Linked DNA regions of Caenorhabditis elegans. The protein of the gene in region 1 interacts with the protein of each later gene in a pairwise test. Each region holds a gene or a part of one and is shown in the gene's direction. Other genes may lie near its edges.

Region 1 (4,697 bases):
TATTTCTCCCACCTTTTCAATCGACAGTTTTTTTGCTGTTTCGGTTTCTACTGGATACACGCCTTTGGGGCGTGGAAATAGAAGAAGATGGATGGATTTTGGAGGAAAAGTTGAAGGAAAACTAGAGAATGCTGGGGCCCGGATACTTATTATTTCTTTGATTCGATTTTCTTTACTTTTTCCCCAGTTACAACAGATTTTGGAAAATTTCACGAAATTCAATTTTCTTTTGTTTCTTTGGATGTTTTTAAAAAGGGATTTTGTAGTTTGAAAACTTGAAAGCTTACAGAAAATTTTATGAAAATTTGCATTAAATTTTCTGCAGTTTCACACTCTTTATTTCAGCGTTATAGGGGTTTTTGCAACATTGCTTCAATTTCAATTTTTCCTATTGCTAAATATAGAAAAAAAAGCGGTGGCGAATTCTTTATGAAATTGTCTAAAATCCATCTTGTATACGTTTCAAAAAAAATTATGCTGTTTCAAAAATGTAACTTGTTAGCACAGAATATACGGTTTTCGTTCAGATTCGTTTTCAATCTCAATTTTCAAAATCTTCAGTTGAAGAAGTTATCTTTTTCTGTTTTTTCTTCGTAAATCTGAAAAATAATCACTGCTTCAAGTTATTTACGATTTTTAATTGATTTTGAAATCTAACTCAATTACTTTAATTAATTCTGTCATGTTAATACATCTACAAAAATAAATCTTACTCCTATATTTTTCATTCAATTTCAGATCTGATTGACTTGATTTTCAAGAGTATAGCTATTGCTAGAATTTTTAGTTGTTTTTAAATTTATCATTGATTTTCCGAGTATTGTTTTATTCACTAAAATTTCCAGATTCACAAAAGTTTTTAGTGAAAAATAAATCAGTGAATTGAAAATGTTTTAATTTAAAATTCAGATTTTTCTCTCAATTTCTCACTCTAGCCGCTTTAATGTTCTCTTCTCTCAATCTTTTTGTTAATTTTTTGAAACAAATTATCACTGTTTCAAGTTTTTTTAAAAATAATTAATCAATTTTCAATTTTAATTTTCACATAAATTGCTTTCGCTTTCATGATGTTATTTTCAAAACAATATTTTTCACTATTTTCATTTGTTATATAAAACATGGTAAAACTTCCCATTATACTCTCTTTTTGCTTTCTTAACTCTAGTTTCCAAATTAAAATTAAAAAATTGTTTCTAAACTTCAATTATATTTTCCTAAAACTTTCCACGAAAATTAAAATTCATTAGAATTTCTTACAGTTACGAAAAAGGAGCCAAACTTTGAGATTTGAATTCAAGTTTTCCACTTTATAATTAAAAATGAAAATTTCTTCCTTATTGTAACATATCATTTCGTTAATTTTTTAAACCAAAACTTTAAAATTTTCCTGTTTCACGTTGTTTATAAGAAACATTGATTTTTTAAAAACATTGCTCGGTGGATTTTCTGAGTCTTTTTCAAAAAATAAAACAAAACTTTTCTCATGTTTTTATTGGTTTTCAAAATGTCATATATTTTTTACTTTTCCAATTCCAACTACAATTTTTCGAAAACCCAATGCTTCAATTTTTCTTCCATAACTTTAAAGTTAAATTAAATTTGATTTTATTTCAGCCAGTCAAATGCCATTTGCTTAAAAAGCGAGGAAATTTATCATCAGTGAAGAAGTGTAAAACATCTATTAAAAATGATGCGTCGAGGTGGATCGATGGGTCCACCGAGCGGGGATCCATATCAGAGGTTAGTATATTGTTTTATGAAAATAATTTAAACACAAATACAAGGCAAATTTGATTACATATTGAGATAGTCAAATTTTACAATTGAAATAAAGTTTTTAAAGCTTTAAACTTGTTTTGTATTGAAAATCCAAGTATTTGATAATTACTCCCAAAATTGTGTCAATTTTCTAAAAATTGCTGACAATCTAAAAGGTGTGAGACGAATTAACTCAACAAACTAAGGAAAGCAGAACTAGAAAATATTTGAACTTTTTTTTGAAATAGAAGTTATGAAACGGTAATTTTTGCGAAATTTTTTAACCTAAAATTTAACTTCAACGTATTTGAAAATCCATTACTGCAAATAAATTTTGAGACTGAAATATTTCTCAAAAATTGACTATTTCGCAATAGATGTTAAATGAAATTTAATAAGTCACCAGAATTTCAAACAGGATGAAAATGAAAAAAAAACAGCTTCAAACATTTTTGTTGAAGTAATTTTTTTAAATCTAAATTGCTTCCAGCGACTTTTTAGAGCTGTTTTCTGTATGTTGATGGCTCGTAATACCCTAAAATTCATTTTTTTTCAAATAGAAAAAAAAATCGAAAATATCGCTGTTTCAAAGAAATGTTATATTTTCAAAGTTTTATCAATGAATTGTTCTGCTGACCTTTTTATTATGAGAAGATCAAATTAAATCATTTATCAAATTGAAGTCGATCCCCTATGAAAGTTCGACTAAACTGACTTCAAACCGCTTTTTAAACCGAAAATTGCAACATTCTTACTGAGTCAATAAAAATTAGAAAAATTAAATGAAGATGCTGAAACTGTAGAGTGTTTCAATTTTCGGTTTAAAAAGTGGGTTGAAGTCAGTTTAGTCGAACTTTCATAGGGGGTGGAATCCTTTAATCAGAAAATTTTAAACTGGATGAAAGAAGAAGTAAAAACAAACAAATAACTGCTTCAGATTCATGTTATTTAATTTCTGAATTTACTTTTCCGTTAAAGAATTTACTTTAAACTTTTTTTTTAGCAAATTAAAAATAATCTTTAAAAATCTAAATCTTGAAAAAGGAAAAAAAAAATGTGAATATCAAAATTTTGACCGTTTCACATTGTTTTTTTTTAATATTGACATTTTCTGGTAGCATAATATCAACAGAAGAATATTACTTGTTAATAAAAAAATATTAAGAAAATTAACTATTTCGCTTTCCTTATAAATATTCGTTATCAGATTTTATAAATTAGTAAGCTCTCGGAATTTTCTTAAATTTTCAGTTTTAAAGTCAAAACGACTTCCTTAATGTTCTAGAATAACTCAATCAATTAATTAACCAATTAATCCGTTGAAATGTCCCAGTTCGACAGGATTTATTGAATTTTCGAAATGAAGTTGATTAATTAGTTTTCAAGATGAATATCTTATTTCTCTGTTTCACCACCACACCTCTTTGGGTGTGGTTTTGGAAACTTATTTGGAATGTGAACGATTTTCCTAATGCCAATGAACTTTTTGCATTTTTTAAATTAGTTTTTTGAAACAGTGATTTTTTGTGAAGTCGTTTAATTGTAAGTTTTCAATATTAAACACCTTAAAAGTTAATTTATTGCGAAACCCCCTATAATAATGATTAGAATATTTCAAAAGTTGATTTTGAATTACTCTGATAATGCGTTTGAAATAATTTTTTCTGTTGAAACTAATTTGTTTTTTATGGTTTCCCTGTCTTCTGCATTTTTTTGAAAGCACATCATTGATAAAATGTTTCTAAAGTTTTATATTAAACATTTGGAACCGTGAAAAATTTTAAAACAACTCCAATATAGCTAACTTTTTTACATGTGCTTGTTTTTTGGAACAGTTTATTTTTTGTGCAAATTTTTAAGTATAATATTTTCAACATTTTACCATGTTTCAATGTAGTATTAAATTTTACCTCCACCATAAAAAATTATTGATTTCAATCTTATTGGTACATAACTCAAATGTTGAAAAAAAAATTTGTTGCACAATTGGAACTGTTTCAGAATTTCCCTACTTTCAAGAACAATTTTTTTTGGATATCGCAGTGTCCAAGTTTTCGAAAATTTTAGTCAGAAACCTGAAACTGTATCAATTTAAGCAATTAAAGTAAATTTAAAAACAATTATTGTATTCTTAAAAACCTGAAAATTGAATTGTTTAAAAGTGTAATTCACTGGAATTCATCAATATTCAAACTTTTCACATATTATGTAGCAAAGTGAAAACAGTAGAATTTTTAAAAAATTTAGAAAAGTCCTATACATTTTCAAGTTGCGATCAAAAATGGAACAAAAAGAAGCTGTTAAGTTTTGCTTATTCAGTCAAACTGTTACTATAAAATATAAAATTCAAAAGTTCAAGAAAATCATTTAGATATGTAACCAAATAATATTCGACTAATTTCTAATGAAAATACCTACCTAAAATCTAAAATCGTAATCACGGTTTCACAGAATATTATTTGGTTACATATCTAAATGATTTTCTTGAACTTTTGAATTTTATGTTTTATAGTAACAGTTTGACTGAATAAGCAAAACTTAACAGCTTCTTTTTGTTCCATTTTTGATCGCAACTTGAAAATGTATAGGACTTTTCTAAATTTTTTAAAAATCTTTGTGAAAAATGCGACTCTCTCTTAAAAAATTCTCTGTTTTTGTATCAGGGGTGTGCGGCAAATTTGCCGATTTGCCGAAAATTGCCGACTTGCCGAGCTCGGCAAATTTGCCGATTTGCCAAATTCGGCAAATTTAAAAAAACCAGCAATTGCCGATTTGTCGAGCACGGCAAATTTCAAAAAAGTAGATTTGCCGAATTTGCCGAGCTCGGCAAATTTCGAAATTTGCCGCACACGTCAAAAATTTTACAGTACAATTTTGACTAAAATTATTGATTTTTTCGCCAAAAATTTAGTAAAATGACACAAAATTGAGTTAGTTTT
Region 2 (7,854 bases), on another chromosome or scaffold:
TTTTTACAAGTAGCAAACTTTTGTAGGATATCAAAATTTCACGCTAAAGTTTTAATTTTAATGCTGAACACTAGAACGTTCAGTTTAGAATTGCTCATTTACAACTGTTCACTGTCATTTTTTTAAGATTACATACAAAACTGCTACTAAAGAAGAAAAGTTTCTCTAAATAAATAATTTTATATCAAAAATTGGTTATTAAATCACTTAATTTCCAGAAAATTATTCTAGGATATTGCCAAAGAAATGATTTTTTGTGAAAAATGTTCGAAAATTCCAGGATTTTGATTCCAATTTAAGTGTTTTCAGGCGTTTCTAGAAGTTTTTCATCTTCTTTTATCCGGCAAGCAAATTGCAAAAATTTCTGTTAAACGCGGTTCAAATTTGTGGAAGCTAGCATCATGGTGCATCGACATTTTTTTAATTTCTCTTAAAGTATCATTCGAGTCCTGTATTGTCTGCCTTCATGCACTAATTGTCAATTGAGTCCCTTCAAAATAATTTTCCCTGACATCTGGTAGTTCCCTGCAACTTCCACGTTATCTTGACAATTTTCTTTTATCCGAGAGGTTCCTTCTGTAAAACGATTCTGACAAACTAGTCCACGTATTTAAGAGCAAACATCATGGTTCATCAAAGTTTGTGAATTTCAAAATAGTAAACCTAATTCATAGAATCTCTAAAATGGACTTTTTTGTGAGAAATGCTCAAAATCGAAGACTTTTGTCTGGATTCGATTATTTTCAAACGGCATTTTTAAATGATTTATTCAAAACGACAGTATTCTTCCAGTTGACTAGGATAGTGAAAAAATTTCTGTTTCACCAAAAAATTCATGTAAACTCGGTTCAAGTTTCTGTAAGCTAACATCATAGTGCATCGATTTCTGTGATTTTCAACAAATTGGCACGTTTGACAATTTTCCTCACAATTCCATTTAACTCCTGCTTTATGTCTTTACGGGTAGCCTGTCTGTCGAATACTTTCCCTTATATGTAGCTAGAAATAATTTTCAAAAACCAATTATTTTTCCTGAACTCCACTGATTTTCTGTAGTCTTATCGATTTTTTGACAATCTGCTCCCAGCCAAAAAGGAATCTGTAAAAATTTATGTTTCATTTGAAAATTCCTGAAGCAATTGCAAAAATCATGGTGCATCGACAAACTTTTATCAACTTTTTTAGTTTTTAGTATTGCATGAAAAGTCGTTAGAATCTGTTCTGGTGAAACTGTTCTGGAATGGTCTTTCGATTGAAAACTTTTCTCAAAATATAAGTTTTTGGTTGGCTGAGCTTCAAATTCAAAAAAAAAATTGCTTTGAAATTTTAAAAACTCACAAAATTCATGAACTTCCATCAATATCCAATATGCATTTAACCATTATTCTCCAAAAAACACGCTCCGCAACTTGTCGTCAGTGTGTATGCAGACATCGGTGAGGGACCCAAGTGGTCGCATTCGACAGCCCACATGATACACGCTCTCGTCGTCTCGTGCCTCTTTTCCCTCGCCACCTGCACTCTCTCGTCGACTGCGGGCGATCTCTAACCACTCTCTGGCTGCCTGCTCGGGATATTTCCTCACTATTTGACTGCCGGGGGTCTCTTGTGTCTACGATCGATAGGGAAACGCACGCTCACACAAACACTCTCCCGCACACATTGCGCGTTTCGAAAATGTATTAGGCTGATTTTGGCGAGTTTTTTCTCCTGGTTTTCTTCTAGTTTCCCTCAACTTTTTAAAATTAAAATTTTCTTTGATTTTTCCTCTTTTTTTTTTAAATTCACTAATATTCTCTTCAAATTAAACTCTTACAAAATTTCCAGAAAATCTACACAAAGCAGAAGCAGCAGAAGCCGCCAGCAGCTCAACTCCGCACCAACACCGTCTCCAATGGCCGACGTCTACACCCCGACCAAGACAATGGACGGCGCCTTCCTGCCAGCAGTGGGATCCCCGAACACCTCCATCGACTCTCCGGGTAAGTCATCGGAATTCTACTATTTTTGAATTTGAATTCTAATTTGCAAGTTCCTTATTTTCTTCTCCACTTCATCCTATTTCTTCGATCTCGAATCTTGATATCAAGCACTTTCATTTTTCTTTGTGACACAGTTCCGGGTTGGCGAAAAAGAAAAAACCGTTTTCAGAGAGACAATTGAAATAAAGAGTTCTGTTTTAACCGCACAATATGAAGGAAAATAATGTGAGGAACAGAAATGCCCCAGATGTGGTCGGATACCCAGAAAGGGATGACCGGGCTTTGGACACGAATTTTCAGGTTCTGAAGTGCCCTCGGCATCTTGGAGCACCTCTGACGTGCTGAGAGCAGTAGAATCCAGAAGTCAAGATACTTGGACTTGGACTTCAACTTTGGCTATATGGGACCAGCAGGAAAACTTCAAGCTTCTACCTAGCAGGAACCAGCTATGTTTCTTGGATTATTAGGCTTTCACTTCAAGGCTCAGAAGCTTAAGTCATTTAGGATAGGCTCTCGCTCTTCTCTTTTTCCCTCTTTGGGCCTAATTTCAAGTTGAGAACAGTGACTACGTATTTTCTATAGAGAAGATAAGATGTGTCCTGGTTCCGCGAGAAAAAGGGATAGGGAAACAATTATTACAAAGTGATAACGGCCTGATTTCGAACAACTTGCTGACTATGCTGAAGCTGTGGCCTATTTTTTTTTCTATCCTCTAGTAGAATGCTGGAAAAATTGAATCCGACTATTTTAGTACAGCTGGAATTTTTCGTTTTAAACTTTGGGGGTCTATGGTGCTTTTTGAAACTAGATTGAAACTTGCGACTACTTTTAATATTTCAGAAATGTCCTGAACAGATCTGAGGTCTTTTGGAGAATTTTGGAAGTTTTGTGATGATCGGGCAAGATTACGGCAAATTCATTCAAAGTTCACAAAGACATAAGAATGCATGGAAAATATCTGGCAAGTTGTGCCAAGTTCTGAAGGGTTGTACAGTTTTCGAAAACATTTCTAGAAGTTTGGAAAAGTCTAGAAAAATTATGGGATTTGAAGAAAATGTGGAAGGCTTTTGAATACTTTCTGTTAACTTTCTGCAGATTTCTGGCATTTTTAGGGAAGTTCTATATCTTCAGTAAGAGCTGCAGACTTTTGCTCACTCACTGGAGCTTTTTTGGCAAGTACGGGTAAGTTCTGGAAGTTGACCGAGTTTTTGAGTAGACCGGAATCAATCTGGCAAATTTTGTTCCATGTATCTGATAGCTTTTGAATTTTTTGAACAATTGTTATACTTCTGGACATATTTCTTACGTTCCGACATTTTTCTCGGTGGATATTTTTTCAAGAAACTGCTAGATTCCAGATATTCTAGATAAAAAATACTCTAAAAATACAAGAAAATTTGAATCTTCCTTGAATATATTCTAATAATTTCCAATAGGCAGTTCAAATTCAATTTTAAATTTCAAATTTTCAGCAGTCTACGTACCGACACCACTCACCGCGCCATCCACATCGAAGACGACTCCAGTGAAGCCCGAGGATCAGACAACGCGGCAGAAATATGGAGGTAGGTGGAAAACTCTTTAGAATTTGTATCCTAACATCACATTTCAGGTACATGGAAGCTCCGACACTTGGGAATGAGATGGAGATGTGCTCTTCCCACCCGCCGATTCCCACTTTCCCAGCCCCTATTTCTATGTAGCGTAGATACGACTATTCACATTTTAATGAATTATAGAACTCTCCAGAACTTTAGCAAAATTTTGAAAGGTCTTGGAAAAATGGGAAAATGTAATTTTAAAAGCGGACAAAAACCGAGATTTATTATTAAAAAAAGACTATGGATACCCGGGAACTATGGTCACTCTTATGGAAGCCTCTTCTCAATTGTGAATCCCCATCACTTTTCAGACTCCCCAATAAGTTGTTCTCCATGTTTTTTCTATGTTTCTGATTTCTTCTTTTTTTCTATTTTTTTGTGCGTCCGGAGTTTTTTTGCAGATGCTCTCAGCTTCATATGGAATATTCTACAGTGGTTTCGTTTGCAGAGCCGAGCAAAATGGCGGAGAAGATATATATGAAAGATATATGAAATTCCAGAAAAATCATCAGAAGTGCACGGGCTGAAATTTTGGAAAAATTGCCGCCCGTGGACGTTTTTGAATGCGGAAATCGATAAATTGAACATTTTTGATTGGGAATTTGAAAGAAAAGTTTGAGTAGATCATTTTTGAAGGATGTCTAGAATTTTGAAAATGTCTAGAATGCTCAGCGATTGAGAAAATGTAAAAAATTAATATTTATGGTCTGAATTTTTGTAATAGTCGGATAGGTTAGGCGTTATGAATTCTGAAGAACACTTACTTATTTTTCGCAAAGAAATGTGACTTTTCCAAATTTGTAGTGGCTTAAAACGTTGTAATCTTGAAATTTTGATCTCCCAAAAATCTGATTTCTGTACTTACTACTAGTAGAAATGTTTTAGAGAAAATTGCTTGCAAATTGAAATGTTTCGAGGTTTCCGATGAAGAGCCGTTTCAGTTGTCAATTTTTGTATTAAATTTTACGACGATTCTTTTGTTTTTACTCAAAACATTTTTTAAAAATCGATAAATTGCAAAACTCGGTGAGATAATTTTCCTATTGGTATCCCCTTGTAGGCCAAAACTTAAATTCACAATAATGAACAAGTACGCTCTATTTTTGGAATAAACCGTGGAATATGCCTTGTGAGTTATTGCGCACAAATTGGAATTTTTTGGAAAAAAAACGATGCTACTTTAAAAAATTGATAAGGAAATCAATAAAAAGATTGCCGCGAAAAAGTTTGGACTATAAAAATTTTTGGATAAAAATTCAAAACACGGAATAAAAGACGCTCATAAACTCGAAAAAATGACAATTTTATACCTCGACGGATGTTTCAACACGTGGAATTTCTAGGTGACGTAATCTAGCGCTATTGATTTTTTTCTTGCAATTTGAATGGGAACCCCTTAAAACGCCTCAAAACTTTTACAAAATTGTTCCCATTTCCCCGTCTCCCCTGCCCCGTACCCATACCGTTTCAGAAAGAGCACATTTCAGTCTTGATGCCAAGTTTGTTTGAATACTTTAATTTTTTTTTTCAAAATTCCAGAAAATCTCAATAATACCAATCAATATTTTCAGGCTCAGTCTCCTACTCGCCATCCAACCCAGGAATCCGGATTGTGAAGCGAAAACCGAAGCCGGAAGCAGTTGCCGCAGCAGCAGCGGTGCCGACGGCGATTTATTCAGGAAAACGACACGCCACAGATGATGGAGAGGATGCGGGACTTGCCGCACTGAAATTGGTAGGTTAAAAAAGGAATTTGACAACTAAAATTGCTTTGTGGCGGTAGAGCGCATCTGCATTTTTTCAATGAGACTGTGCTAGACTGTTGGAAACGCCGACTGCTAGGAAAATTGAAATTTTATCTTTTAAAATTGAGCAGAGTTGTGTGCCTTGGTACTGGACAGTTCGGGCAAAAATTCTACAAATGAATTTCGAGCTCAAAATTTATGGTTTATTGGAGCAAGCGTGCTCTGATCCCGCTCTTTGAGAAATCGTTCAACGGGAATTTGACAACCAAACTTGCTCAGTTTCGGTAGAGCGCATTTGCTTCAATGAGGCGGTGTTAGAATTTTGGAAAATTTACCTTTTAAAATTGAGTGTAATTGCGCGCCAATTCGTCCATGGTACTGGACAGTTCGGAAAAAAAATTCTACAAATGAATTTCGAGCCCAAAATTATGGCTTTTTAGAACAAGCAAGCTCTGATCCAGCTACTTTCTTGAAAACAAGCAAAAACTATTACTAATCGCCCTCAAGTATTTTCAGAAGCCAAACCGTGGAATTCTCCGTGGTCCAGCTATCTCCAACCTCAATCAGCGTGGCACCCGTCGCCTCATCTTCGCCGACACGCGAGGTCTTCCACTGGTGCATGTTAAGGAAATTGAACGTATTGCAGCAAGTACGCCGCCACTAGAGCCTACCACTAAAACTAATGCGCCTCTTCTTTCAGTCCACTCGAATGTTGCCGACTATCGGTGTTCGGAGCGAAATGAGGCCGCCGCGTTTGGCCAGGAGATGGAAGTTTTTGAGGATGTCGAGTGGTCGCTGGTGCCGGTGAAGCGGTCCAAACCGGCGCGCAGTGAAATGTCAGAGTCGGGCCTACGGGAAGAAAGACGTATCGAAGAGGAAGGAATTATGAGAGGGGCCATGTTTGGGTAAGTTTTTAGGCATATATTGACCTGTAATAAAAATTTTTTAAATTTTTTGCGTTTCCAGAATGTGCCAACTCGAGGACAACCCAGCGCTTAACGAGCAGGCAGCTGTCGACCGTGCCAACTACACGCCGACCATCATCCCAACCGTCAGTGTTCCATCGGAGCCCACCACTCTCGCCACTATCCGCGATTTGCCACTTCCGGGCCGTCCGCCACGTGTTCGTCCACAAGATTTGCTGCTTCAGGTCAAGCCGAACCAGGGATTCCACACGTTGCCACTCTACCATAGCCAACGCCCGGAGAACCCTCGACGTCCGATGTACGCACAGCAGCAGCAGCAGCAATCAGCCCACCAGACGCCGACTCCACACATCCAGCAAGTGTTCCAGGAAACGGAACCGGTCACCAACTACTACACGGCCACCACCTCTGTCCCGGAGACCCCGGAGCCAGCTCCAGCAGCCCAGCCTGCCAGCAGATTCGAGCTTCCATCGAACCTCAAGGAGATGCTCAACCAGCTCAAGAAGAAGGGGTTCGTCTCGTCGGATGAGACTCCTTCGCCGACGACTTCAGCTCCACCGCCGGTTGATCCACTGGCGGCTGCAATGCAGACTGCTCAGCAGATGATGCTCCAGCAGGGGAACACGTATGCAAGTGAAGAAGTGCCGCAAGATTATCCAATGGATGGATATGTCGTGAGTTTTTTTCGCTTTTAAAAACGGGCTGGAATTGCTTGAAATGGTCCGACCCGCTTTAAAAATGTGTGGGCCCATGGAAGCTTACTTCAAAAACGGGACAGGCCCGGTATCGGCCCACTTTTACACGACGCTGGTCCAAGTCCTCCTTATTTATACATTAGCAACAGTCTAAAATTTCAGGCAACATTTGCAACTCCAGAGATGATGGCTCAGGAGCGTCGCCAGGACTCTCGCAACTCGGAAGGATGGACTCAATCCGGCTGGAAGATTCCAGAGCCATGTGTCTACTTTATCAGCCGCCCGGGTGGATGTAATCGGGGAGATCAGTGCAGATTTATTCATGACGAGGAGATGGTAAGTGGCAGTTTGAAGCTATTTTTTTTCCATTCTTACTTATTTCTTTTTCAGAGACGTCAAAAGATGGCAGAGCTCCCACCACGCGGTCCAAATCATCACCACGACAACTTCCGAGGTGGCCGAGGCCGCGGATTCCGTGGAGGCTACAACAATCGCAACAACTACAACAACCACCACGACCGCGACTTTAGAGACAATGCAGGCGGAAACCGTGGCCGATTTGGCGACACTGAAGGATTCCGTGGAGCACGATATGCTCGTGGAGGCTTTGCTCCTCGGAACAACTCGAGATTCGACCAGAAGCCAGCGTACAATGATGATGGCGGTCATCTAGGATCCCCAAATGCACATGGATCCCAGTATCAGGATCCCGTTCCGACTAAGAGAGCCCGTGTCAGTAGGTTTGATAGACAGGGAGAAGATGATGCTCCAGGCCAGGATATGGATCAACGGCCACCGAGGAGAAATCGATTTGACGAGCAGCCACCTCGCCGGACGTTCCGCTCTCGCTTTGATCAGCAAGCGGATCACGATGAGATGAGCCAAGCTTAGTGGCGGAAGAAAAA
Region 3 (4,607 bases), on another chromosome or scaffold:
AGACTTAATATGTAAATGTGAAAGAATTTTAGTAGACTTAATATGTAAATGTGTAATTTCCAACAATTAAACGAGGAGAAAAGACGAAAAATAAAAAAAATTATCGAAAATAGAACACTTTGTCACCATCAAAATCACTAACACTAGCAAAATAGCACAGTTTCATAGTCATATTACATATGCATGTTATAACAACAAACCTATTTTCATCTTTTGAAAACCCTACACACAATTCCACTTTTTTATGGAGAAATACAACCACATATAATCTTTTGATTTCAAAAAGTTATTTGTAATTGCCAAGCATTCATTACTTGGAGATCACGTTTTCCAAAACATCTTCGTCAGCAATTATTAAAACTTGGGAGTTTTTTTAAAGAATTATTGTATGCATTAGAGTGCGTTCTTATTGAGTGTTTCAAGTATGGAATTTGTTCTCAATTAACAAATTATTCTTAAACACACAATTTAAAATTAGTGCTTCATGTACAATTATATAGTCCGTGAAACAATGCAAATCTCCAAAAATTTTTAAACTTATTTAAAACTTGATAGGTACTTTTCAGCATATTTTAGTCTAAGGAGCCCTTTTATTGTTTTCAAAATAGTAGGACAGCAATTTTCTAATGAGTTAGAATTCACTCAACCAACCCTCAGAGGCATACCGTACTGTTTCTTCAAAATTTTGATTCTTTTAGTTTTGATTTCCATTTAAAAAATGCGTCAATCTGAATACTACCTATTGTTCAACTTTTCTATTTCAAACTGCATTCCCATACTCTTTCGTCGCTCCAATTTTTATGGGACAAAATTGGCGGGGGTTTTGAGTACCTCCTGGCCTCTCGTCCCATTCTTTGTGATCACACTTTTTGTTTCATTTCACACTTCATCCCCACACTTTCAACCGATACGAATTCGTATCGCAGATTTGTATAAAACATAGCGAAAAAGGAACGGCGACAAGTTTTGATTGGTTTTACAATGCAAAACTTTTTTGTTTATTAATATGTATGGTCTTGTCAATAATTGTTAGATTTTAGATTTGTAATTGACAATTTGTTAATTGGTTTAAAACTATGGTTTTTGCGAATACACAAATATCCGAATAGCATAACTTTTTTTTAATTATTAAATCACCACAATTTTGTAAAACAACTAAAAACTAATTATATCCAGTTTAAACATTATCCATTCATTTCGTATGCATATAAGTTCAATCAGTTCAAAGTATTTGTAGTCTCTACTCCGCGTTTCCAATCTCCTCTAGCTTAGTACTATTTATCTGACAGGAACTGTTGTTATTGTTTGACTAGCGAATAGGCGTTAGTGTTGAACCAAGTGCGCAGTAATAAGCAGTGAACAACGAGTGAGAAGTATGCAAGCGCGCTCTGCTGGTCACTGGATGGGTTATGAGAAAAGAGAGGGCAGCCGGGTACTCGACACATACCTTCACACCAATTGCGCGTCCTTTCTTTTTTCCTCCATGTTCTTTTTTTTTTGTCTTCTTCGATTTTTTCTTTTTATTTCTTTTTTTTAATTCAAGCCAAACTTCATAATTTTCAGGCTTTTCTAACTTTGAAAACATCAAAACATTCTCCCATGTAGGACTTAACAAAAATGTGAGTTCAGTTCATTTCATAATTCTTCTCAAAAACTATAAGGCCATGGTATTTTGTTTATTTTAATTTTACGAACAACATATACTAATAAAGAAGAAAATGTTTTTCAGGGGTCATTCACATAGTACTGGGAAAGAAATCAATGACAATGAACTCTTCACATGTGGTAAGCATTTTGCGCTTGAAAATTGTGAAAATTACTTTTCAACTAAAAACAAATATAATTTCAACATTTGAGTTTGGCATTGGATTTCAAAAAAAAAATTGAATGGTATAATTTCATACCATTTGGAAAAATTCAGCCTTGAAAAATATTAACTTGACGAAACTAATGAATATTTGTTGATTCAAAAGTTTTCCTAAAAAAATGATTATTGTTTGAAACTCATTAAAAAAGTACTGATAAAGTTTACGATTGTTTCTGAAGTATCAGCTTTTGTTTTTCTATTTTTCAAAAAAAGGAAGCTGCTCTCAGTTTTGAAAGAAAATAAGGCGAAATTGTAAAATAAATTATACGTAAAGTATTATAAAACTAATATTTTGTAATTTCTCAGTTTCTCAAAAAAAAAAAGTTCATGTTAAAACATGAAAAACAGTATGTTAAGTTTTATGTATTGTTTTTAACGTTCCTTCTACTTTTCGATGAATTGTCACAATCTCATTCGAAATTGTCTGCCCACAATAAGGCCCTTCGAGTGTAGATGACAGATTCAGAACCGCTCTTAATGCTTTATGCGGTTAGGTTCTCTAATCCTCCAAGTGTTCGGTTCCCTTCGTATTCCCGTTCGCTGTAGATATATGCCGGAGAGGGTGTGGGGAGGGTGAGAGATCCTCTTCTAAAGTCACAAGTAAACGAGACGCGGAAGAAAACGAGAGTAGAGATAGTAATAGCTGGTATGGTGGATTGAAAGAGAGCATGAGTGGAAGACGGGACGCAGACAAACCAAGAGGTCACATCTCCCTTCCCTCGTCCGTCAACTCCCGGTCCCTAGTTTGAGGACAACGCATGCGTGATCCAAATATGGGAGACTATCCAATCAAGTGTATCTTCTCTACTCATCTAGAATAATTAGATCATAATTTTTTACAAACTACAATATTTATAAAATTATACACTTTTAAAAGGTTTAGGCATAATTTATTTGGGAAAGGAAGTTTGGAAGAATAGAAAAAAATGGAATAAATCCAGTTCCTCTCCCCTTTCCCGCTTTGCCGCCTCCCGGCAAAACGTCGCTTCTCCAACTTGTTATTCCAATTCAATAGGTTTCAATGCCATATTCGCAGTTATAAATGCTCGACCCCTATTGACTATTCGCATTTTATTCACTTCACTCCAGTTTTAACTAGATTTACCATTTCCCCCCATCTTTTTTCTCCCTGGGTCAGAGAAGCAGCTGGACTTGTGTTAGTAGTACGACGAATCGCCCTTCTTCTCGTTGACCAATTAGAAAATGTGCTCTGGCACATTTTCCTTTCTGTGTGGGACTGAGAACCACGGGGGACACCCAACCTCCTGTTCTTCATTCTTTCTATCCAATTTTTATGATGGATTTGGTGCGACGCGTATACAATGAATATAAACGTTCGCAAGTCCACACCCATTTTTACAATTCCCTAGACATTGACACGGCATGTGACAATATTGAATAGTTTTGCTAATTTTGTGTTACTCTCGAAGAAACGGCATTGTCTCTGCTTTTTTTGTTATCTGAAAAAATAAAATCAGTTAGGTGTTTCAGTAGAATTTTCAAAAATAATTTACATCAGACAAACCGAGCTGAACAACCAAAATATATCCTAAATCAGATTTGACGAAGTTCAGATCATTGATCTTTTTCATAACGTGATTAAACACAAAACTATAAAAGTTTTATGAAATAGAAAAGAGAATACTAATTTTAAAATCTTCCGGTTCCGGATTTGTGTATGTGTTTGCTTATCAAATCACAGTTCTTACATGTATTTTTTAAGTGAAAAATCTATTAGGTCTCCAAATAAGTTCCGGGTCAAAAATCATAACTTTGTTCTCTGTGTATCGATTTTTATGAAACTTTGGGAATTCATGTTATCAACAATGATCTTTCATTTGACATCAGTCACAAAATTTTTTGTCCACCCCAAGTGTCCTAACTCGGAGCCAATTTTTTCAGGCATTTTTCCTATCTCGCTTCTAAAAGAAGACCTTTGAATTGAGGTTTGTGTGCGGATTTCGCCTTGCTTAAAATACATTATTAGAAAACGACAAAATTTTAGAAAAAAATCCGTCCAAAAAATTTTTTTTTGGTTGGTCGTCAAAAAATGTTCAAAAAAAATTTTGTCGAAAGTTCTAGATTTTCCCTACAAAAATGATGTAAACAAGCGTGAACTATTTTTACACATACAAAACATATCAATTTATTTCGATACACCAAAATGTTAATAGAAAATATAATTTTTTCGGATAATTTTTGAGTTTTTTGAATATTTCTCGAGATTCAAATTTCAAACTAAAACGATTATTATATATTTAAAAAAAATTTTTTGGACGGATTTTTTTCTAAACTTTTGTCGTTTTCTAATAATGTATTTTAAGCAAAGCAAAATCCGCACACAAACCTCAATTCAAAGGTTAAAAGAAGCGAGATAGGAAAAATTCCTGGAAAAATTGGCTCCGAGTTAGGACACTTGAGGTGTACAAAAATTTTTGCGACTATTGTCAAATGAAAGAACATGGTTGATAACATAAATTCCCAAAGTTTCATAAAAATCGATACACAGCGAACAAAGTTATGATTTTTGACCCGGAACTTATTTGGAGACCTAATATAAACCTCGTTTCGAAGTTTTGAAAATTGTATACCGTATTTCTTCTATTAATATGACTGCAATACTATTGTTCGATGGTCTTCCCGCTTGCAATACTAATAGGGAGTGCAAGACTATTAGGGAGTGCAATATTAATTTTCAGAAAATTTTTCTGACTTTGAGCTTTCTGATTTTTTTTCTGAA
Region 4 (4,702 bases), on another chromosome or scaffold:
TTTTCTGAAAACTGTCCGAATGGCGCAGTGGGATTTCGGATTTTGGCTCGACTCACAAGGCCGGGGTTCGACCCCCCGCTAGGGTCAAATATTTTTATTTTTTTCTAATTGGTCTTTTTAAGTCTTTTAAACCATCAGACTTACGAAAAAAAATCGATTTTCCTCGTATTTTTCTGCAGTTTTTAGTTTTCCTCAATTCATCCTTACTCCACTACTTTGATCCGCATTCTCCGCTTTCTTGTGTAGAATTTCCGGTTCAATCTCTTCCATGGAATGATGAATGACCCAATATCACAGATATAATCACTAAATTAACCTCCCATCACTTTATCACCACCCATCTTGTGATAAGGGTAGAGAAATTCTTTGTGTTGCGTATTTTTACCCGAAAATTGGCAATATTTTTACAGAATTTCTGCAGTTTTGCTGGGTTTCATTAATTCTGTTTACATTTTCATTCACAAAACGACAAAACAAAAATATTAGACCCTTGTGGGAATCGAACCCCGGTCTTGCGCGTGGAGCCGAAGTCCAAAATCCCACTGCGCCACTCGGACACTTTTTAGAAAAATGCTCAAAATCACTGATTTTTTTTGTTGTTAAATTTTGGGTTTTAGACGATTTTAGTCCAGTTTTTAGTTTTGTATCAAATTTTAACAGAAGAAAACCGAAATTTCTCGGATTTTTCCGCCGAAATGTAAATTTCCATTTTTCTTTTCCACCCTAAAATATACAAATGTAATAATAATTTTTGCATAATGAGTGAGACAAACCACACCCTTATCATCAGAATAGTCGTCCTTCACTACGTGTCTGCGTCTCTCTCCCTCTCGTCTCATGTCTCTTTTTCTCATTTTGGCGCCGCGCCTTCTATCAATCAAGTTGAATTGACGACGAGATGATTTCATTGTAAGGAGGGGGTAAAGAAAGAACGTATCTTTTTCTCTCCAAGGAATATTTTTTTTTCACATTTTTAGGCGCCAAGTTTTACCCGAAAATTGTAGTTTTCCCGCTTAATTTGAATATTTTCCGGTTTATCGGCGAGATTTTTTAATTGAAAATGTGAAAATCGTACTTAGAACGTTGAGAAATTCAAATTTGCCTTTTGAAATTTTGAAATTCGGTTATTTTTGAGCATTTTCCAAAAAAATGTCCGAGTGGCGCAGTGGGATTTTGGTTTTTGACTCCACGCACAATACCTGGGTTCGATTCCCGGTGGAGGACAATTTTTTTTGTTTTGTTGATGTGTAATGTAGAAACCATTTTTGAATTGGAAAATCACTTTCGGGCAACTTTTCCTGAGTTTTTTTAAAACTTTTTAAAAATTATTTTTGAAAAAAATGTTTTATAGTCCACTTTTTTCCCTAACTTACAGTTTTAGAGAGTTTTAAACTATGAAAATTGCAATTTAACTTTGAATCTTCAAAAAAATTGGATTTTGGAGCATTTTTCTGAAAAGTGTCCCAATGGCGCAGTGGGATTATGGCTGCACCCACAAGACCGGGGTTCGATCCCCCGCTGGGTCAAAATTTTTTGTTAAGTTTTATTATTAAAAAAAACATACTCCCATCATCAAATTAATGTCTTTTCTTCAAATTTTCAAATTTTTCTCTTATTTTCTACTCCGATTTTTGCTACTTCTTCCATTCCCCCCCCCCCCCCCCCCAAAAAAATTTAAAATTTTTCAGGTAACCATCACAAATGCGTGATATTGGCGGAAGTATGTCTTCCGCCTCAACGTCTGCCACAATTGTCAAGCGGAGCCCGCCAAACGACACTTCCACGTCATCAGGGGTCTCGTGTGACGTGTCACCGAACTCAATGACGTCACCATCTTCTGGAAGCGACCAAAATCAGAATAATAACTCGTTGAACAAGTGCAAATGTTGTCCATATGGATATCATATCGATTTGGGATTCGTTTCCTACGCACAGAATGTTAGCAATGGATTTGTGTCGAGACAAGGTGAGGTTTTTTGCGAAAACTCTAAAAAGTGGTAGAAAACGTGAAATTTGTTATTCAAAACTATTTTAAACAAATTTAAAATAGTTTAAAACCTATATTTCTGTTTAAAAATTGGAAAAATCGGGTAATTTTGAGCTATTTTGAGAAAAGCGGCCAAATGGCGCAGTGGGATTTTGGATTTTGGCCCCACGCACATGACCAGGGTTCGATCCCGGCTAGGGTCGAATAATTTTTTCTAAGTCTTTTTAGTTTGAAAATCAGTCTGAAACATTGAAAAATTGCCCATTAAGTACTTTTCCAGGCACCCCGACAAATATGACACTACGTGGCAATGGAGCAGACCGACATTTGATGTCCCCACTGCTGGATAACAGTATTTTCAGCGACTCCTTGGATAATTTGATGAGCGATTTTGATGATGTTCTGGCACCACACAAGGAGGTGGAGAAGGTGAGCTTGAAAAAATTTAAAACCGCGACGCGACCGCAACGCGACAATAAAAAATTATCAGAATTTCAAAAAGTTAGTTGCAAATTCCAAATTTTCAGAAAAAAACGGTCCAAGACATCAGAAGCCGAATGCAAGGAGGCTACAACTCGGACTACACCACATATCGCAGAGGACCACCGGAAATTCCCAGAAGAGCACATTTTGAGCAAGGTTTGCACTTTTTCTGAGCTCCAAACTGAATTTTTTTTTACATTTTTCAGCTAAACCACCTCCGCTAAGCCGTCCGATCAATTTAGGGTTTAGTGGAAGCAGAAGTAACACGCCAACTCAGAGATTTAATGCTCCAAATGGCACTGGAAATGGTGAGGTTTTTGAAAAACAATTTTTAGATGGATATAACAATGCAAAAAAATTTGGCCAGAGCCCGGGGTCGAACTTGCCACTTTTTTCTGCGATTGGGCACCAGCCATCTGTGTTAACCACTGCGCCACTTCTACCCAGTTTAAAATTGCGATTATCTCGAAAACCGTGATAGCTAGCGAAAAATTTTCAACTGCAAAAATGATCAGCGTAAAATTTCCTTTCGAACAAATTGTTGAAATTTTCAAAACTTGAGAAAATGTTTGATCTGGCAAAAGTTACATTTTCCGTAACAAAAAAGTTGTTTCCAGTATACTTAGGCTCTACAAAAATTATTCTCCACTACCCGGACTTGAACTTGGCACTTTTTGCACCGATTGATTCCCAGGCATCTGTGTTAGCCACTGCGCCACTTCCACCCAATATCATTTTTCAATTATCTCGAAAACCGTGATAGCTAGAGAAAAGCTTCCAACTGCAAAAATGCTCAGAATAAAATTTTCTATCTTATCACTTTAACTATAGAAAATTTCAGGCTACTCCACCGCGCTTGCCAAGACAATCTCCGAGATCCGGGCTCGCAACGCCGAGTCGCCATTCCCAGACAGTCGTGTCGGGACCCCAATTGACTTGGGACTTCATCAACAAAATAATGGACACGTGACGCCGTCAAGATTCGCTAATAATCGATATGATGACCTACCTCCGACGCCTACGCCTACCTTTAGAAGGGCTCCGTCTCAAGGTAAATTAAGAGGCTGAACATTGAAATTTATCTCTGGAATTAAAAAAAACAATTATCTTTGAAATGTATATTTTAAAAAATTTCAAAAAACTCAAATTTAAAAAAAATGCCCAAATGGCGCAGTGCGATTTTGGGTGTCATCTGAGCAAAGGGTCATGGGTTCGACCCCGGCAGTGGCTAAACATTTTTTATTGTTTTAGGTGACTTGCCACGTGGATTCTCCACCGCCCCCTCAACAGGTCCCGGGGACTTTGCAAGCCTCCGGCGTGGCAGAGAATTTGCTCTTCCACCCGAGCAAGAGCACCACTCGAGACGGTTTTTCTCAGCGTCGCCAAAGTTGCCGAGGGTAGGTTTTGCAGAAAAATTGAGGAAAAACTTATGTAAAAAGTTTACAGCGTGGACTTCAAGCCGGGCCATCAATCGATGTTGAAAGCCATTTCACATATGCACAAACTCAAAACGGGCAGAAAGTGCTTGCAAGGACACAATCCACAAGCACTTCACCACCGCCACAAGCTCCTGCTTCAGCGGTAAGATTTTTTTTTTCAAAAAAAAATTCAAAATTCCTCACTTAATAATGGTTTGAAAAAAATTCTGTAACAATTTGGCATTGAAAAAAATGTAAAAAATGTTTGCCGTAGCCCGGCCTCGAACTTGGCACTTCTTGCACGTATTGAGTCCCAGCCATCCGTGTTAGCCACTGCGCCACTTCTACCCTAATTTAAAATGCGGTTATCTCGAAAACCGTGATAGCTGGAGAAAAGCTTCCAACTGCAAAAAGGATCAGCGTAAAATTTTCTATATATTAATTTTTTGAAAATTGTAGAATTTCCAACTATTTCAAAAATTTATTAACAATTGTTAAAATTGTGTGAAAATCTGTTCCCAGCTTGATTTCAGTATGCAAAAAAGTTTTGTTAAAGCCCGACCTTGAACTGAGCACTTTTTGCACCGATTGAGTCCCAGGCATCCATGTTAGCCACTGCGCCACTTTCACCCAGTTTTAAATTGCGATTATCTCAAAAACCGTGATAGCTAGGAAAAAAATTCCAACTGCAAAAATTATCAGCATTAATTTTTCTACAAAACTGTATTATAAAACTTTGAAAAATTCCAGTTCGAACCAGTAAAACCCCTGTCAAATGGAAGCCCAAGTCCAACACATCAGGTTCAAAAGCCAA

What was found.
Region 2: the proteins of eps-8 (region 1) and zfp-3 interact in a two-hybrid assay, tested with the Caenorhabditis elegans proteins (3 studies listed by BioGRID).
Region 3: the proteins of eps-8 (region 1) and abl-1 interact in a two-hybrid assay, tested with the Caenorhabditis elegans proteins (2 studies listed by BioGRID).
Region 4: the proteins of eps-8 (region 1) and vab-19 interact in a two-hybrid assay, tested with the Caenorhabditis elegans proteins (one study listed by BioGRID).

The regions. Positions count from the first base shown.
Region 1 is NC_003282.8:14,877,876-14,882,572, forward strand, and holds the start of eps-8 (SH3 domain-containing protein), read left to right. Parts: upstream 1-1,687; coding exon 1,688-1,740; intron 1,741-1,794; exon of another isoform or gene 1,795-1,815; intron 1,816-1,953; exon of another isoform or gene 1,954-1,974; intron 1,975-2,166; exon of another isoform or gene 2,167-2,188; intron 2,189-2,386; exon of another isoform or gene 2,387-2,407; intron 2,408-2,491; exon of another isoform or gene 2,492-2,512; intron 2,513-2,731; exon of another isoform or gene 2,732-2,752; intron 2,753-2,881; exon of another isoform or gene 2,882-2,902; intron 2,903-2,976; exon of another isoform or gene 2,977-3,000; intron 3,001-3,053; exon of another isoform or gene 3,054-3,074; intron 3,075-3,206; exon of another isoform or gene 3,207-3,229; intron 3,230-3,461; exon of another isoform or gene 3,462-3,482; intron 3,483-3,684; exon of another isoform or gene 3,685-3,708; intron 3,709-3,774; exon of another isoform or gene 3,775-3,795; intron 3,796-3,918; exon of another isoform or gene 3,919-3,939; intron 3,940-4,697.
Region 2 is NC_003284.9:1,440,617-1,448,470, reverse strand, and holds the start of zfp-3 (C3H1-type domain-containing protein), read left to right. Parts: upstream 1-1,827; 5' UTR 1,828-1,894; coding exon 1,895-1,982; coding exon of another isoform or gene 1,983-2,011; intron 2,012-3,454; coding exon 3,455-3,547; intron 3,548-3,594; coding exon of another isoform or gene 3,595-4,064; exon of another isoform or gene 4,065-5,075; coding exon of another isoform or gene 5,076-5,082; exon of another isoform or gene 5,083-5,154; coding exon 5,155-5,318; intron 5,319-5,835; coding exon 5,836-5,977; intron 5,978-6,028; coding exon 6,029-6,233; intron 6,234-6,294; coding exon 6,295-6,928; intron 6,929-7,111; coding exon 7,112-7,285; intron 7,286-7,339; coding exon 7,340-7,840; 3' UTR 7,841-7,854.
Region 3 is NC_003284.9:10,621,157-10,625,763, reverse strand, and holds the start of abl-1 (Tyrosine-protein kinase abl-1), read left to right. Parts: upstream 1-1,574; 5' UTR 1,575-1,617; coding exon 1,618-1,619; intron 1,620-1,729; coding exon 1,730-1,785; intron 1,786-3,056; exon of another isoform or gene 3,057-3,181; intron 3,182-4,607. UniProt on the Caenorhabditis elegans protein: Functions downstream of migratory protein mig-13 and is involved in Q neuroblast migration during larval development.
Region 4 is NC_003280.10:2,441,591-2,446,292, forward strand, and holds the start of vab-19 (ANK_REP_REGION domain-containing protein), read left to right. Parts: upstream 1-1,688; 5' UTR 1,689-1,701; coding exon 1,702-1,966; intron 1,967-2,267; coding exon 2,268-2,416; intron 2,417-2,514; coding exon 2,515-2,626; intron 2,627-2,676; coding exon 2,677-2,778; intron 2,779-3,311; coding exon 3,312-3,521; intron 3,522-3,721; coding exon 3,722-3,867; intron 3,868-3,916; coding exon 3,917-4,051; intron 4,052-4,638; coding exon 4,639-4,702.